Lepisosteus oculatus: one gene and its partner. The protein of the gene in region 2 interacts with the protein of the main gene of each other region in a pairwise test. Links are inferred from orthologs where the notes say so. Each region holds a gene or a part of one and is shown on either strand. Other genes may lie near its edges.

Region 1 (7,930 bases), on a different chromosome or scaffold from region 2:
TACTGCCCACTCGCTCTAGGTGCTAGTGGCGGGGGTGGGGCTGAATCACTAACCACAGCTCATGAAGTTCAGTCCACAGACATGTTAGTCCCTTTTCTCTACTCAATAAGAGCTCCCTTTCACTTGCCTGTACATTTGGAAGACCAATTCCGAGTGAGCTCATGAGCTGAGGAGCAAGGCACGTGCTGTCTCCCACACCCACATCACTTATTCCCAGATAAGTGACGCCCTACTCACTTCTGCATTTGGAATGCCATCTGGCTTTTGGATTTTCAATCAATTCACAAAGCTGTAACAATCTATTAGTACCATGTAACAAACGCTACAAAGTAATTACGTACTTCAAGAGAACACATTTCAGGCTTTTCCCCATTCCAATCGATTACAGGGCTACAGAGAACGTGACAGTGGGAAGTGGGAGTAAACTAGAAAACCAGAAGAAAATCCTTACAAGCTAGATAAGAGCATGCAGACTCCACACAGACAGATGCCCAATCCCAGGTCCTGGAGCTGTGAGGAAGCAGCACTAACTGCCATGCAACTGTGCTACCCCTGCATGCTTATTTATGGCATTGGGAAATCTATACATATTGTTTTGAAACTTGATTTAATGTTGCCTAATCCAATTAAATGGACTGCTTGTAACACTTACAATTGCACAATAGACTGAGGCTGTATATACACACACCAGAAAAAGGAAAGGTTCAGAAACAAGATGCAATTTGATGAGCCCTGTGAGGGGAATCAATTAGAAATGAAAGCATTCACTCTGATAACAACATGAAACTGCATATTACTTCCCTATTTATTTGCAATATTGTGCAAATAAAACAGATGCCCATAATGCTAGTCCTATATTTATCTCTTAAAACTGAATGCAAATGACAATGCATGCATACACTAAAAAATACTAATTTTAGATAAGAATAATTCACAGACAAACTTCCTATTAAACAAACTAGGTTTGTTAGTAAAATGCATGCTAAATCCCCAGCTTACAATTACACACAAAACATGCTGCGACCCTGAAGTTATACCCAAAGGTTACTGCCCTTAGAAAAACAGTCTCGTGTAGTAGTTAAAATAACACCTAAGCATATTTTCCTCAAACCTATAAACCAATTGTCACAAAATTAATAAGCAAAATCACTGAGTCAAACAGACAGCTTCTATATCATAAGAATGGTATTATTTTAAAATGATCTAAAGTGCACAAAACCTGAACTGCACAGATTGATATAACCTGCCCATAAGTACTACACATCCCCTTGGTATATATGCTCAATATATCTAATAGAATGATAATCTTAGAAATTGACTCCTCAACAAACCTAAAAATTCCCGGAAAACTTTTAAGTTGAATTGGTCTGTTACATAAACAAAGAAAAATCAGAAATGTTCTATTACAAAGGTTCAGATGATCAGGTTCAGTTGTTTCAGCAGGAGACCCTACAGTGACAATAAACCACCAGCGCACCATCAGCTGACTGTTACAACAGTGACAACACGGGACTTCTGTAAACGGCCATACACGGGCCTTGCTGCAAGCATGCAAGTAATGTACCACAGAACGAAGCGCTGACGGTAAGCTTCTCAGTGGGAATGACCGCAGCCTTGTGTCAGTGCGATCACAGGAAATGCGGCCACAAAACACACACTTCCCACCCGAGGTGACAGCACGCCTGTCCCTGGGCGATATATTTATCAACACAGCTGGCTGGAGCAGCACCTCAGCGGGCCGAGCCCGAGGCGAGTGGACAGCCAAGCCGGTGACGGGTCCGGGCTCGGCTCGCCGGTCAGGCCAAGCTGTCCCTCCAGACCCTGCAAGGCGACCGAAGGCCGCTTAATAATATTGGATGAGCGGCGTTCCCCCGGCCCCATTTCTGTGATCCGGCCATCGTCGGCGAGAGATGATTTAGCATTGCTCACGGCAACGCCAGCCTCACCTCCGACCCGCACTGACAGGACCACATCGCGGGCGGCTCCGACGGCCGCTTCACTACACGCCCCACACGCCCCACTCTGGATCCCCACAGCCCCCGGCTTACCTTATTCAGGGAGGGCACCAGCAACCCCCGCCATTTCGGCGCGTTGTCGTCGCTGAAGAAGTCGTACTGGAGTTGGGGCGCTTGCATGGCTGGTGCTCTCTTCACAGGCTGTAGCGGAGCCAGAGCGCTGCTGCTTTTCCCTGTCGCTTCTCACATCAAAACGGGAGGGAGGAGGAGGAGAGGGAGCCCAGGGGTGGGGAGGGGGGGGGGGGTGTTGGTTGGTTCGGTTGGTTATAGCGTGGAGGAGCAAAAAAATAATAAAAAATCTAAAAGCAAAAAGCCGTCGCAGTCAACAGTGTCGGAGAGCGGGCGGGCGGCGCGCGGTGAGCTAGGACGTCGCTCCCGCACGCATCCCAGCTCGCGGCGGCGATCCCCGGCCGCGTGCAGATGTTCGAGCGCTGCCCCGCGCCGCTGGGCGGTTAACGGACACTGCCCGCCGGGTCCGCCTTCGCACAGGCTCCGCAAGAGCACGGCTATGAACTATGTACACTGACGACAACAACAACAACAACAACAATAATAATAATAATAATAAAGATCCCCTTCCCCGCCCCCCCCCACACGCACACCTCCCCTCCCGAACCTGTTTTCACTCCTCTCGTAGAAATCCGCAAAACAAAACTCGAAATCTGTCACCGCCAACCGAGCGGCGCCTCAGTAGGCGACGCTCCTTTCAGACGGCCGGTGGGAGCAAATCCTCCTCGGTTTGGGGGAAAAAACCCTCTTCTGTACATAATCGCCCATTTTCTCCGAATCTTCTCTCCAGCAGAAGGAAGGGAGGGAGGCTCACCTTGTAATCCTCCATGAACTTAACGTTAGTATTTTCATTATCTGGTGGGTGTCTCCCGGCCAGACGGTTTTCTCTGTGGGGGGTGGAGGCTAACCTGAGTCCCCGTGCCGCAGCCCCCTTTAATTTCAGTATCTTTCGCCCAAAGTGGTTAATTCGGACGATTGTTATGGCTCGGGTGCAGTTGTAGCTGGAACAAGGAAGGAGCATGCGCACTGGATGCCTTCTGCGTTGTCTTCCCCTCACTCCCCCCTCCCCCACACGGAATGAGAGCTGGGGGAGGTGAAAGGGCGCAGGCAGGAGCAATGGAGCGCCGGGAAATCGAGTCCCTGCTCCTGCGAGGTGCCGAGACAGCGCCCCCAGCCGTGAACAGCCGAGTACCGTACATCCCCTGGTAGAGGTCAAGAGGAGCAGCTCTTGAAACACAAATGTACTAAATATTTTGTTTTTGTATTATAACTCAATGGGTCGGTATTGTCTATTTTAGCTGTGTTTGATTACATTTATTCTACTGCTTCAGATGACTTCGGAGAAATTCTCTGATTTCTCTCAACTTCAGAATAAATGAATGTAGTTTTAGTTTTAGCAAACTTTATTATTGTTACATCTTTACTGACACCTATGAAAATATACAAAAATAATTCCTTACACTTATATAGTACTTTTCTGGACACTCTTATCAATGAGTAGAGTACTTTACAGGTAATGGGGACTCCCCTCCACCAACACCAGTGTGCAGCCCCACCTGTATGATGCGATGGCAGCTATAGTGCACCTGTACGCTCTCCACACACCAGCCTTCAGTGGGGAGGAGAACAGTGTGATGAAGCCAGTTCAGAGATGGGGTTTATTAGGAGGCCATGACTCCTAATGGGGGAATTTGGGCCAGGATGCTGGGGTAACAACCCTACTCTTTTCAAGAAATGCCCTGGGATTTTTAATGACCACAGACAGTCAGGATCTCAGTTTTAAGTCTCAGCCAAAGGACAGCACCTTTTTACAGTATAGTGTCCCTGTCACTATACTGGGGCATTAGGACCCTCACAGACTGCAGGGTGAGCGCCCCCTGCTGGCCCCACTAACACCTCTTCCAGCAGCAGCCTTAGCTTTCCCAAGAGGTCTCCCAGCCAGGTACACTCCTGCTAAACTCCAGTGGGCAGCCAGCTGTGATATGGCTGTTGGCTATATATTTATTATTATTTAATTAAATGTATTATTATTATTATTTAAGTCATTTCATTATGACGCTTATGTGTAGTTATATATAAATCAGCGTTTCTTAATATTTTTAAAACTGGACATTTTACCTACAGTACGTAGCTCACCCTCAAAACAGTACATTTTACTCTCTTCTTTGAACTACAACTCCCATGAGCGCTTTCGCGTGTGTCTTTGTTTATGAAATCTACTTTTACTTGATTGGTCAGGTTGCACAGGTCTTGATTGCCAATTGGACGCTTATGAGCGTCAATCACTTTTGCGTTTAATTGTACACGAGGAAACAAGGAAGACCCAGATTAGATTTTAATCTCTGCGGGAACGGGGGCGTCCTGCTTGTGCATTTAGTTATTTTTACATCTTTAATAATGAATAAGTACATTTTACCTGTGTCTGTAATGGGGACTGTAATTGGTAGCGCTGTTCTGATAAAGTAAGTAGCAGATCGTGGAGCTGCGTGCAGTGAGCACATTCAAGATGCTGTTGTATCGTACTCTGCAGAAAATTGCCATTCGTTGTTTCTGTTTACATTCGCTCTTTGAAATGATAATAATGGCCGGTATTATCGATTTGCAGCGTGTTGGTGCCCACTGTGAAACCGTAACGCGTCCGTAAAGCCATGTGTACGATGGAGGCGTCCAGCGGTTTTTACCTGCATTAGAAATGAACTCGTGAGTCGAATGCCCGTGTCGCTGTCTATCCTTCATAGATGAACTGTCACTGCTCGTGCGTTTGCATAGATACCCACTTATCCTGCCATTCCCGATCTTGTGTGTACTTTTGAAAAACCTCAGCAGAAAGTCTCAAGTATCCCAAGGTCACGCAGCCCTGACATGGTTTCGGTAACGTGGGCGTGTGTGTGGTGTACGTAGCCCCGTATATAGTTAGCTGAAGACAGATTCGAAGAACGTTCAGTTTTAGAATTGATGTTGGTATAAAGATCTGTCTCCCCATCAGTCAAATGCATCCCCCCCCACCCTTAAAGTCCAGCTGTTATCGTGAGCGTTTTATCGTGGCTTGTTTTCAGAAAGCGAAACGTTTTTAAACGTGGCATGGCTTCATGCTTTGACTCAAAGGTGGTGGTGGGGGGTGATGTCAAACCTGTCCAAAATAAATGCAGCACTCTTCTGTTATTCTCAGTGGTGAGCATGCTCACTGAAAACATCCTCACGTTAAGAAAGAAACGCGTTGTTTTAAACGGTGCAAGGGAAAGTCATTCACAGGAGGCCAAGAGTTGCACTGAAAGGGCCTTTCATCTGCAGTTTTGATGGGACACCTGAGGATTGCTGTGTTAAATCCCTCACTGTACCATAATGCCCACGCACAGTTCCTACCTGAGCCTAGAGCTCCCCGTGGCAGAGCCTGTCCTTGTTTCTGTAGCGGTGAGCAGACCGGCAGGGAGTGATTCTCCTCTGGATGGAACGCCGATATAGTGCAGCTTTCCCACATCACAGCTTGTACCTGTTTGTCCAACACAGAGGACTGGAGCAGCTGGACTGAGGTGTAGAAACAGCAGTCTCCGCAGCAGTGTTGCCGTGTTACAAAGATGGTAAATTGACGCCCAACAGGAACTTGCATTTTAAATTGGAGGGGTGCAGAGAGGCTAGGGTTCTGGCCTCTTGTCCTTTGGTTGTGGGTTCGAGTCCCCACCTTGCAGCTCTTCATACTCCTGAACAAGACTCTTTGCGCACAATCGCCCAGTCCTCTTAGCTGTGTTAAGGTGTACCAGCAGGGCTGTGCTCTAGTGATGGAGCGGGTGTAGTCTGCTGAACCAAGCAGAACCTCCAGATTTCTTTGTCTTTTTCTAGGGACTACTTTAGCGGGGGTGTTTGTCCCAGTAAAGCGAAGATCACTGGCAAGACGGTCATCATTACTGGAGCAAACACAGGCATAGGAAAAGAGACTGCCAGGGATCTGGCCAGGAGAGGTGAGGAATCCTTCATCCTGGGACGTGCCGTAAAAACAAACTATGAAGTAGCATGGGAAAGTCTCGGTTTCTCTCTGGTATTTGTGGCAATGAAAATCAATCCTGGCACATTCCAAAACCAAAAAACATCTCCTCTTTCCTTAGAGTCTGGTGTTCATTCACTGCACCATATGAAAATGCTAAGCATGTCGACCCCTGTGAATTGAATGTATTAGCCTGAAGTACAGCAGTCGGTCTGAGGAAGAAAACCAAGGAAGTTGTTAGTATGATCTTTTAACTGTAGTGACCATAAGAAACTGCAGGGTGACGTTTTAGACTTGGTTCTTTACAAACAGTTTACAGCGCTTTTTGTAGCAAGTATGGAAAAGGGGAAACCGCAATAAAGCGTTTTAAGATGTTTACAACCGAGACAACAACATTGAAACGATGTATTTGAGAAGCAGTCCCCTTTGTCTGCATTCCCTCTCGTTGTGCTAAACGTTTTCAGAATTCTTTCCTGAAAGGAGGCCGTATCATCCTGGGGTGCCGGGACATGGAGAAGTGTGAGGAGGCGGCCAGAGAAATCCGAGGGGACACTTTGAATCGGAACGTCCACGCCCGGCATGTGGACCTGGCCTCCCTGAAGTCCATCAGGGAATTTGTACAGAAGATCAATCAGGGTAGGAATCTGATTTCAACATTGTACTGCTGACTGCAGCTCTGATCACGTGGATGGTACAGAGGCTCCGAGCTGCGGATTGAGTTGTTCCCTGTGCTGTCTACAGGAAGCAGGCTCTGCATCCAGCAACTCGGAAATCTGGACCTGAAACACCAGGTCCCTCTGAAATCTGAATTCTTCAGGGCTTGTGCCTCTTGTGTGTCCTTCCTCAATACACGATGCTAGCAGTTGTCTATCTTATCAGCCAGCGGCTATATCACCCTGCAACTCACAACTGGCGACCCCACTGAAGCTCAGCAGGTGTGAGCCTGGTCAGTACCTGGATGTGAGACCTCCTGGGAAAAACTAAGGCTGCTGCTGGAAGAGGTGTTAGTGGGGCCAGTAGGGGTCTGTGTGGGCCCTAATGCCCTGGTATATTGACGGGGACACTATACTGTAAAAAGGCGCCGTCCTTCAGATGAGACATAAAACCAAGGTCCTGACTCCCTAAGAGTATACAATTTCTTGCATTAGGAATTTGTCTTTTTTTGCATACTCCAATTTGCTCTCCATGAGACACAGACAGAGACAAGCTTGGGGTCAGAGCGCAGGGTCAGCCATTGTACAGCTCCCCTGGAGCAGTTGGAGTTAAGGGCCTTGCTCAGGAGCCCAACGGAGTAGGATTTGAACCTGCAACCTTCCAGCCACAGGCGCAGATCCTTAGCCACAGAGCCACTGCTGGCTAGGTAGCTTGTTCCAGACTCCCTGCACTTGTAAGAAATGTCATTAAAAATCCCAGGGCGTTTCTTGAAATGAGTAGGGGTGTTATCCTGGTCTCCTGGCCAAATTTTCCATTGCCCTTTACCAATCAGGGCCTCCTGGTAATCCCCATCTCTGAACTGGCTTCATTACTCTGCTCTCCTCCCCACTGAGAGCTGGTGTGTGGTGAGCGTACTGGCGCACTATGGCTGCTGTTGCATCATCCAGGTGGGGCTGCACACTGCTGGTGGTGGAGGGGAATCCCCATTACCTGTAAAGCACTTTGAGTGGAGTGTCCAGAAGAGTGCTATATAAATATAAGGAATTATTATCAGTTTTTAAAAGCTAGTGTATTCAAACTGAGTCTCTCACAGAAGTGCAAGCAGTGACAGAGTCCATGGAACACTTCATAATTGTAAAGTAATATATTATTGTTTATTTAAATGTCACAATTCTAGTAAGGGAATGAGATCTCTAAAGGGCAAAATGCTCATTTATGGACTGTGGGAAAGACAGCTTGCAGAGGGGTAAATTACGAGATGAATATGGGACAG
Region 2 (7,643 bases):
GAAAGAGAGAAGACATCATTAACCGTGGAAAGGAAACAAGACGCATACGGAGCTTGTTAAATCTGGCAAAGAAAGCTTTGATTAAACATTTTCCCAGAGACACAGTGTAAAACTGGCTTAAAAAAAAAACAAAACGCCATTTCCTACCAGCTGTTACTACCCGTCCGCCACTGCAAGACTTACAGGCAAGGAAGGAAAAGCAGTCGCTGTTTAATTTCATTAGTAATGTTCATTAAGACCTGTATGTCAGCTACAAAACACAAACTTGAGCACGGAGCAGCTGTCACTAAAAACTATGAATTCAATAACATGAAAATCCTCACTTTAAAAAGATGTCTTTTTTTTTCGCCGTTTTCCTTGCACCAAAGACCAGCAGATCTATAAAATATTCACGGAGCTAAAACCCGCACTAGAAACATTTGAATAAAACGCGTTCGGACACAAGAGTGACAGATTCACAGTTTAGTTGTCTTAATGCAGCGCTAACTCCACTGTGTTCTTTCTTCAGCTCCATTGCTGGAGATGGTAATTAAGCAATTACAACGCCCCAAAGACACCATATCATAAGAGTACAGCCAGCACTCCTCTTAAAAAGAGAGCTCATCCCACCGACAGCTCCAAATGAAAGAATATTTCATGCTTCTGTGGGCAGATGTAAAACAAATGTGAGAACTCTGAAAGGTACACATATTACAGAAAAGAGAAGGACGGTATAGCAGAATTGGTTAGAAAAGAAAGAGCAGTTAAAGAAATGCCCAGTTACTCCAACAATGTAATGATTAATTCAAAGCACAAAGCGTTGACTGACACTGGTCAGTATGAATTGACAACACACTGCAAGCAGCATTCTTTCCTGTTCTTATCAATTACATGAACTGGATGACAAAAGCAATAAAAAGGCTCACAACCCTAGCAAGCATAAAAACAACGACCTCTCTAGCATGTACGCGTAATCCAGTCTGCTTGCATACTTTTGTTGGCGTCTGTCCGTTAACAAAGAGCAGAAAAACGGCTTGAGTTGACAGACACTGATAGCATCAGTACAGTAATTAAGCGCGGCTGCAAGATTAATTCCGCTAAATCAAATGTAGTACTATTGAGGACCATTACGGTGCAAAAACGGAGCTTCTGTAGAAGGGCTAATGACATGGAATTAAAAATGATTCCCTTTATCTCATCAAGATCGTAGGGTTAGTGTTAAGGGCCTACTGTTATAATAAAAAAAAGACTTTGTTTTATTCTCGTTTATTAGGAATAGATCGACTCAAACGTGGCGATACATCCTAGTCCATGACAACATTTGGCCGATAAGACCGACTCTGCTCCGCGGCCACGGCGCACTGACTGCGCCCGGAGACAGCGAAGCTCCGCGCCGGGGAGATGCTGTTCGGGCACAGGGAGGCTGAAAGACTCTTGACGGGGCAACACAGACCCGCCACCAGTCAGTTGTCAGCCACATTACAGCCCCGCAAGGCACAAACCTGAGCCCACACGGGCAACAGGATACACACGCCACCGCCAATCCATACAGTGCGTCCACGTCTTCAGAGCAGGTCAGCGCAACACAACGACGCAAAAAAAAAAAACACACCACCAAACTCGGGAATATATATATATATTGCATCCGCGTACCTGAATTCTAGGGTCGACTTCTTCTTCTTCTGCTGCTGCTTCCTCCTCTTCTTCTTCTTCATCCGGCGACTCAATCTCTTCGTCTGATTTGGGTCCCTTTTCCACGCTGTCCATTTTGCTGAATGCAGTAATGTCTTTTCCCTTTCCCCAGGTCGGAAACTGGGGAGGCTGAGGTCGTTCTCCAAGCGCCGCCGCGACCACTCTGGTTCCCTCCACACCACTTCAGCAATAAGGCATATGGGGAAAAGATATCTTTAAACACAAACGCAAGGAGTTAAGGATTAGCTGAGGTCTGCAACATTCAAAACCCTCAAGGAAGCTGAAACACAGGAGGTGCCCCTTTCTCCGGACAAACTGGCTTGAAATAAGAACCTGAGCGCTCCGCCTATCCCCGCCCCCCTTTCCAGATTTTGCTAGGCAATCCCCGAGATGGACGTACAGAAATATTGTAATTTTCCTGCCGGGCTCTTATTTGGCTCCGCGAATCGAAGGGAACGGCGCACGACGCAGGAAGCAAGCCGCCGTCCTCCGTGTCATCTGCGGCCCCGCACGGTGTGGCGACGCCCGCTGCGCTCCGACTTGATCCAGAAGGCTTCCCCTCTCGTCTCCGGATCCTTCTGCCGGCCCCCCCCTCCCTCCAAGCACACAAAAGCGATGGCGATGAAATCGGAAAAAAACGATTAACCCTTTCGACCGGGCCGGCCGCCTATTGTAATTAATGGATGTCCTCCCTGTTTTGCTATGCTGTTAATAATCGGATCGCGCACTCCTCTCCGTTTACATCTCAGCGCAAATCACATGGCAATAAACTGCTATATTAAGCACGCAGAGGTCCCAACTAATCCTGCAGTACCTGTCTTCCGCTCTCTTGAGTTATAGTACACACTGCAGTAATTACAGCAGTCATGTCCTGTAATCTCACTGACAGGGGGGTTACTAAACCCCACGGATAGGAGAGAGTTGAAGCCGACGTTCCCCAAGTTTTCTCCAGAGGAAAAGAGTGGTCTGTCTCTCCCTAGCGGTCGGTAGACGGAGCACATCTGAAACCTAAATTAAGCAATGACGGAAGGGCTTTATTGTGAACTGGCGTTGCGCAATTGCTCTGTAATGCTGTTGGTCTTATACTGTACACCGGTATAGGAAAAAATGAAAAGCTGAGTATAGAAAAGAAGAGTGTATAAAACAGCAGCCTCCTCCTGATTGCTGTTATTGCTCTATTCAGTTTGTTTTATTTTGGTCTCGTATCTCTGGTGTGTAGCAAACATAATGATATAAATTACCTGAAGAAGGCTTCTCAGCCGAAACGTTGTGTTTTCTCTCTTCCCTTTTCAGCATGGAATAAACCTGTTACTTGTTCCTTGGCAGACTACGCACGCTGACGCAGCTCCCCATCTGAACTGATCATATAAATGACTCCCTGAACTCTGAATTCAATACTGTTAAGTCATGACGTTCAACATACTGGATGGGAGAGTTTGTTTACAATCTCTGGTGCTGTCCTGAAGAGGTTCCGGTCATACCCTGCCTCTTGTTACACGGTGATCTTCTTGTTTCTCTTGGGTTTACTTCTGAGGCTGTTAGGTCTGGCGCTTCACAGGGTTCAACACCAGGCGCTCTGCTATTTCAGTACTTATTCGGTATTATTTGCTATTCAGTATTAACCTGTACATTACAGTTTCTCCTTGGTGCAATACTAAAATTACGTTGTCAGAATTGCATTTCTATGAAGATGACAGTCAAATTAATGTCCACATTAAAGCCAAAATAGTTGTTTCAGCACTCTACTCATTTCTGGTGCCAATTTGCTGTTACAACTGCCATATTGCTCTCTCTTATCTACTAACCCCACTGTTACACACTCTCCTATCTACTAACCCCACGGTTACACACTCTCCTATCACTAACACCACTCTTATATGGCACAATATTCACACGTAATTCTGTATCTCTACCGTTCTGTGTTGTCAAGAGCGGTTCTGAAATAGGAGGCACACCAGGCCACATCATTAAAGACCCCTCTGGGAGCATTTGACCCACAGATCCTAGAGATAGGGGTAGGATTGTGATGAAAAAGTATGAAGTTTAAGCAGCTGTGGATAGCCGTAGAGAGCTTTTATCAGGCAAAAACAGAGAACTTTGGAAACCTGAAAAAGTCTGATCCGAATAGGTGGTTTTATTAAAATTGTGGGAGTACTGGTTAGAGCCCCTGGTTTGTAATTAGGAATTACATCCAGGAATTAAATCAAATCCCAGATGATGCACTGCTGTAATACAGTACAAAATACAATTTTTCAATTTTCCTCCAGGGCCACTGTGCTGTCAATTTATACCAAACATCTCTTCCTCTTAATAAGGCTCTTTTTGTTGTTGGGATTATTTGGTAACCAAGGAAACAATAATGGGCGTAATGTGTTCTTCATCCAAGGACAGGCAAAATGTTTTTTTATTTGGTGAGCTCTTAGATCAGTTACAAAAGCTGGGTACAGATTTCTGTGAATAGTGCTGGAATCCGCCACTGTCTACGCAGAAAACCCATGACCTCAGATTAATGTGTCATGATCATGGAGGCAACGCCTTCTCCCTGCAGCTGTGCCGTGAGCTTCTGGCGCAGAGAGACCTGCTTTAGTCAGCAGCTCCCTTGTTCACCACGAACTTCAAGCCCTGCTTGCACTGAGTGGTCCTGCTGCACACTTGGCTGGACCACACTTTTCTCCCCGACTAGACCCCAGACTTTCAGCTCAGCTCACACAGCCCGCAGCTACAACCTCTTTACCTGAGACGACAAATCTGAGGGCAGGACAAGGGCCAGACTGAAAGTTTGTGTACCTCTGCTGAAGGTCCCTAAAGTGGCAGCAAAGCAATTTGATTTGATGTCATACTGGACTTGTTCTCCAACAAATCCCGATACAACAGGATGTAAAGCATTCCAACTCCCCACCTCTTCCTTCCCTACTTTCCTACACGATCTACTGTACTTCCGGCATAAACGTACTTCAGTCTCCACCACAAGCTCACGTTCGATTTTCTGGTTGAATCTGTGAGCTGGATCAATTACTGTACACATCCGAAAACGGTCCATTCCCAATCACTTCCTATCCCTACAAAAAGTTCACCAATAATTTGCTTGTGTATGTAACAGAGTGTGTTGATTCTTGTGCCAACGGTAGGTAGGCAATTTCCATATTTGAGCTGCAGGGGCGCATCAGGGCGGAGCTCATCCTGGTTTCTGGAGGGTTAAGCAGAGTAGAGCAAGAGCAAGTGACATCCCCCAGGACGGGAGAGAAAATCAGGGATTACTCCCAGCAGTGCCAGTCCCCCATTTACACAGCTGGGCGGGCTGGAGCCACTGGGGTACAGTGCCTCTCTCAGGGGTACAGCAGCACTGTCTGCATGAGTACTGGCACTTACCCACTGGGCTTCCCACTCAGAGTCCAAGACAGCCATTCAAAATGAAGACTGAAACTGACAGGTTGTGTGGGGCTTCATTTCAACTTTAGACCATGGAAATGATTTTCTAAACTGGACTCATACAGTCAACCAGGCAACTAAAAACACATGTTTCAGCGTCTCCTGCCGCCTGGGAGTAATATGCCCTGCTCCTTCTCTCAGCTTTCATACTCCCGTCCTGTAATGCACATCCTCTAAAGGAATATCGAACTGGCCTTGCATCCGAAACCTGTCTGAACAGGAAGGACATAATCGAGGATGTGACATTTCACTGCGAGCAAGAGGCACCAGTGGTGCCAGACAGGACGACAGGACTAGACGCGTCCCAAAAAAAGCCCTATCCCGGGCTCTGGAGGCATGACAGCCAGACCACGAGTTACTGGGAAGGAAAACGCACATCACAAACACCACAGCTCGGGCACACAGAATTCCTTGTGGATATCACCAGGAAGGAAAAAGGTGTGTGCTGAGATTTAGAGTTCAAGGATGAGAATATATAAAGTACCTTTCTGCCTGGACAAAGATGACCCACACCTTGCCTTGTTTTCTGCAGATACTTGTAGCACATCAAATAACCTAAAAAATGCTAAAAACATCATTGAACATCAAAATTCGATATCGACAGAGCAGAGTTTGCTGGAGCAATCTGGACTCTAGGGATCTGAACCCCTGTCCCAGCCGTCAGGAGAACACAGTTCTAACCATTACTCCACACTGCATTCTTTTACAGCATCTGTGGAAACACCTTAGCCCTGTAATCTTCCAGACTGGCTCAACAGTGTGCTGGAAGATCCGTGAGATGTTTAATCCTCTTATCCTTGCTTTTTTTTTTATTTAACAAAAACAGTACAGTGGAAACACGATACACATGTTTCATTACAGGTCTTTGCATACACATCAAAAGATAATTTAAATAGAGAATTCTTCTTTCCGAGATAAAATCACTTGAGCTGTGAAAACCTTAAGGCTCCCTTCCACAAGCAGGTAAAGTGTTGTATTTAAAATGGACATGAAATCCTATGCTGGTCAGAAGAATGAGATCGGTTAGAATTCTGCCAAGAAATTCACAAATAAAATCCCTCCTGGGTTTTTTCAGATACAAAGTCTTTTCTTTCCGAGTAGCAGCATCACCATCAGGCTGTTTGTCAGAGTGGCTTCTTGAATTTGCCTTGAAGAAAAACTCTTGGGACACAAAGCCCCTCTCTCTTGTTGACAGTTTCTCTGAGGACGTACTCGTTCACCAGGGTCTCGTAACCCACCGCTGTAAACAGATCCTCCAGGAACTCTAGACAGAAAAGTACAAGGAACAAAATAAAAGGCAGGTTTTACACACTATAAAACATCACATATAGAGAAAGCCTTTCATTCTTTCTATTTTTATATAACTATGTATGTAGTAGTTATAGCTATACAGTACAGCAAATTTGTTTTGTGTTTATGTCTTTTTTGTATAAATCCTATCTTGCCCCTGCTTAGGCTTGGCTACTAAAATGTGTTTTAATTTTTTTTAGAGAACCTGAAGTTGAAAGGGTGACAGAACAGCATCGATGGCTTGAGAATGTCTGCTACTCACCTTTAGAAAAGAAGAACGATCTGGTACCATCTTGCCTCACATAGAAGTTCTCTCCAAGCTTGCTCCCGGATTTAAACCTCAACATGGCGTGATCGTGCAGTCCGTAGTCCCTGAACAAGACAGTGCCCCCTGGTTTCAAGACCTGCCCACCCCGATGAAGAAAAACAAAACAAAATATCATATTGTCTTACAGCGTGGAACTTTGACATTATAGAGGACTTTGTGTTGATGAGTGGCAAAAAGTCTTAGTTAAATACATCATGGTTCCATGCTGTAACACAATAAAACGTAAAAAAGTCCAAGGGGGGTGAATACTTTTGCAAGGCACTGTATATGGAGAAGATTTAATGGAGAAAGATTCTAGCTTGAGCCATTTAAACCTTCTTTTTCTTCACTGAGAGGAAGACCACTTCTGTACTTACTCTGTAGATGTTTTCAAGGGCCAGGCGCATTCTGTCTGGGTGTATAGCAGACAGCACGAATATGAGGGTGGCAGCATTCACACTTTCCAGTGGGATATTCTTTGACAACTCATCCTTGGTCAGGTCACACTGGAAAGCCTCGCATCTCTCGGCGTTGTACAAGGGGTTTTGCTGAATTAAAACAGTGGCATCAAACAGATACATTATAATAGACTAGAAAAACACGATCTCACACTAAGCCATATTTAATATATTCAAAGGAACAAGTTATAGGGGTGAGGAACACCCGAAGAACACCCAAATCCTTCCACCTGAAGAAGGCTCCACAGCCGAAACATTGTGTTTTCTTTCTTCTCCTTTCAGCATGGAATAAACCTATTACTTGTTCCTTTGCAGCCTACACATGCTGACGCAGCTCTCCACCTGAACTACTTTAAAACATTCAGATGGTTTACTGATAAACATTGTACATTATCATGCTTCAAAAGAGTCTGAGCACAATGGGAGTATAGTGCTTTTTATGATACATCATTTCAAAGTGCATTACAAAAATAATTAAGACAACTGTA

What was found.
Region 1: the proteins of sh3bp5a (region 2) and son of sevenless homolog 1 interact in a two-hybrid assay, tested with the Homo sapiens proteins (2 studies listed by BioGRID and IntAct). The link is inferred for Lepisosteus oculatus from reciprocal best matches to the Homo sapiens genes SH3BP5 and SOS1.

Annotation. Positions count from the first base shown.
Region 1 is NC_090712.1:4,595,796-4,603,725, reverse strand, and holds the start of son of sevenless homolog 1, read right to left. Parts: upstream 3,089-7,930; 5' UTR 2,839-3,088; exon of another isoform or gene 2,632-2,838; intron 2,538-2,631; exon of another isoform or gene 2,195-2,537; 5' UTR 2,136-2,194; coding exon 2,049-2,135; intron 1-2,048. Other genes in the region: retinol dehydrogenase 13, read left to right, coding at 4,422-4,486, 5,862-5,980, 6,484-6,639.
Region 2 is NC_090705.1:41,677,960-41,685,602, reverse strand, and holds the start of sh3bp5a (SH3 domain-binding protein 5), read right to left. Parts: upstream 3,046-7,643; 5' UTR 2,913-3,045; intron 2,638-2,912; exon of another isoform or gene 2,486-2,637; intron 2,476-2,485; exon of another isoform or gene 2,072-2,475; intron 1,885-2,071; exon of another isoform or gene 1,853-1,884; 5' UTR 1,747-1,852; coding exon 1,633-1,746; intron 1-1,632. Other genes in the region: tRNA N(3)-methylcytidine methyltransferase METTL6, read right to left, coding at 6,225-6,364, 6,653-6,794, 7,075-7,245. UniProt on the Homo sapiens protein: Functions as a guanine nucleotide exchange factor (GEF) with specificity for RAB11A and RAB25. Inhibits the auto- and transphosphorylation activity of BTK. Plays a negative regulatory role in BTK-related cytoplasmic signaling in B-cells.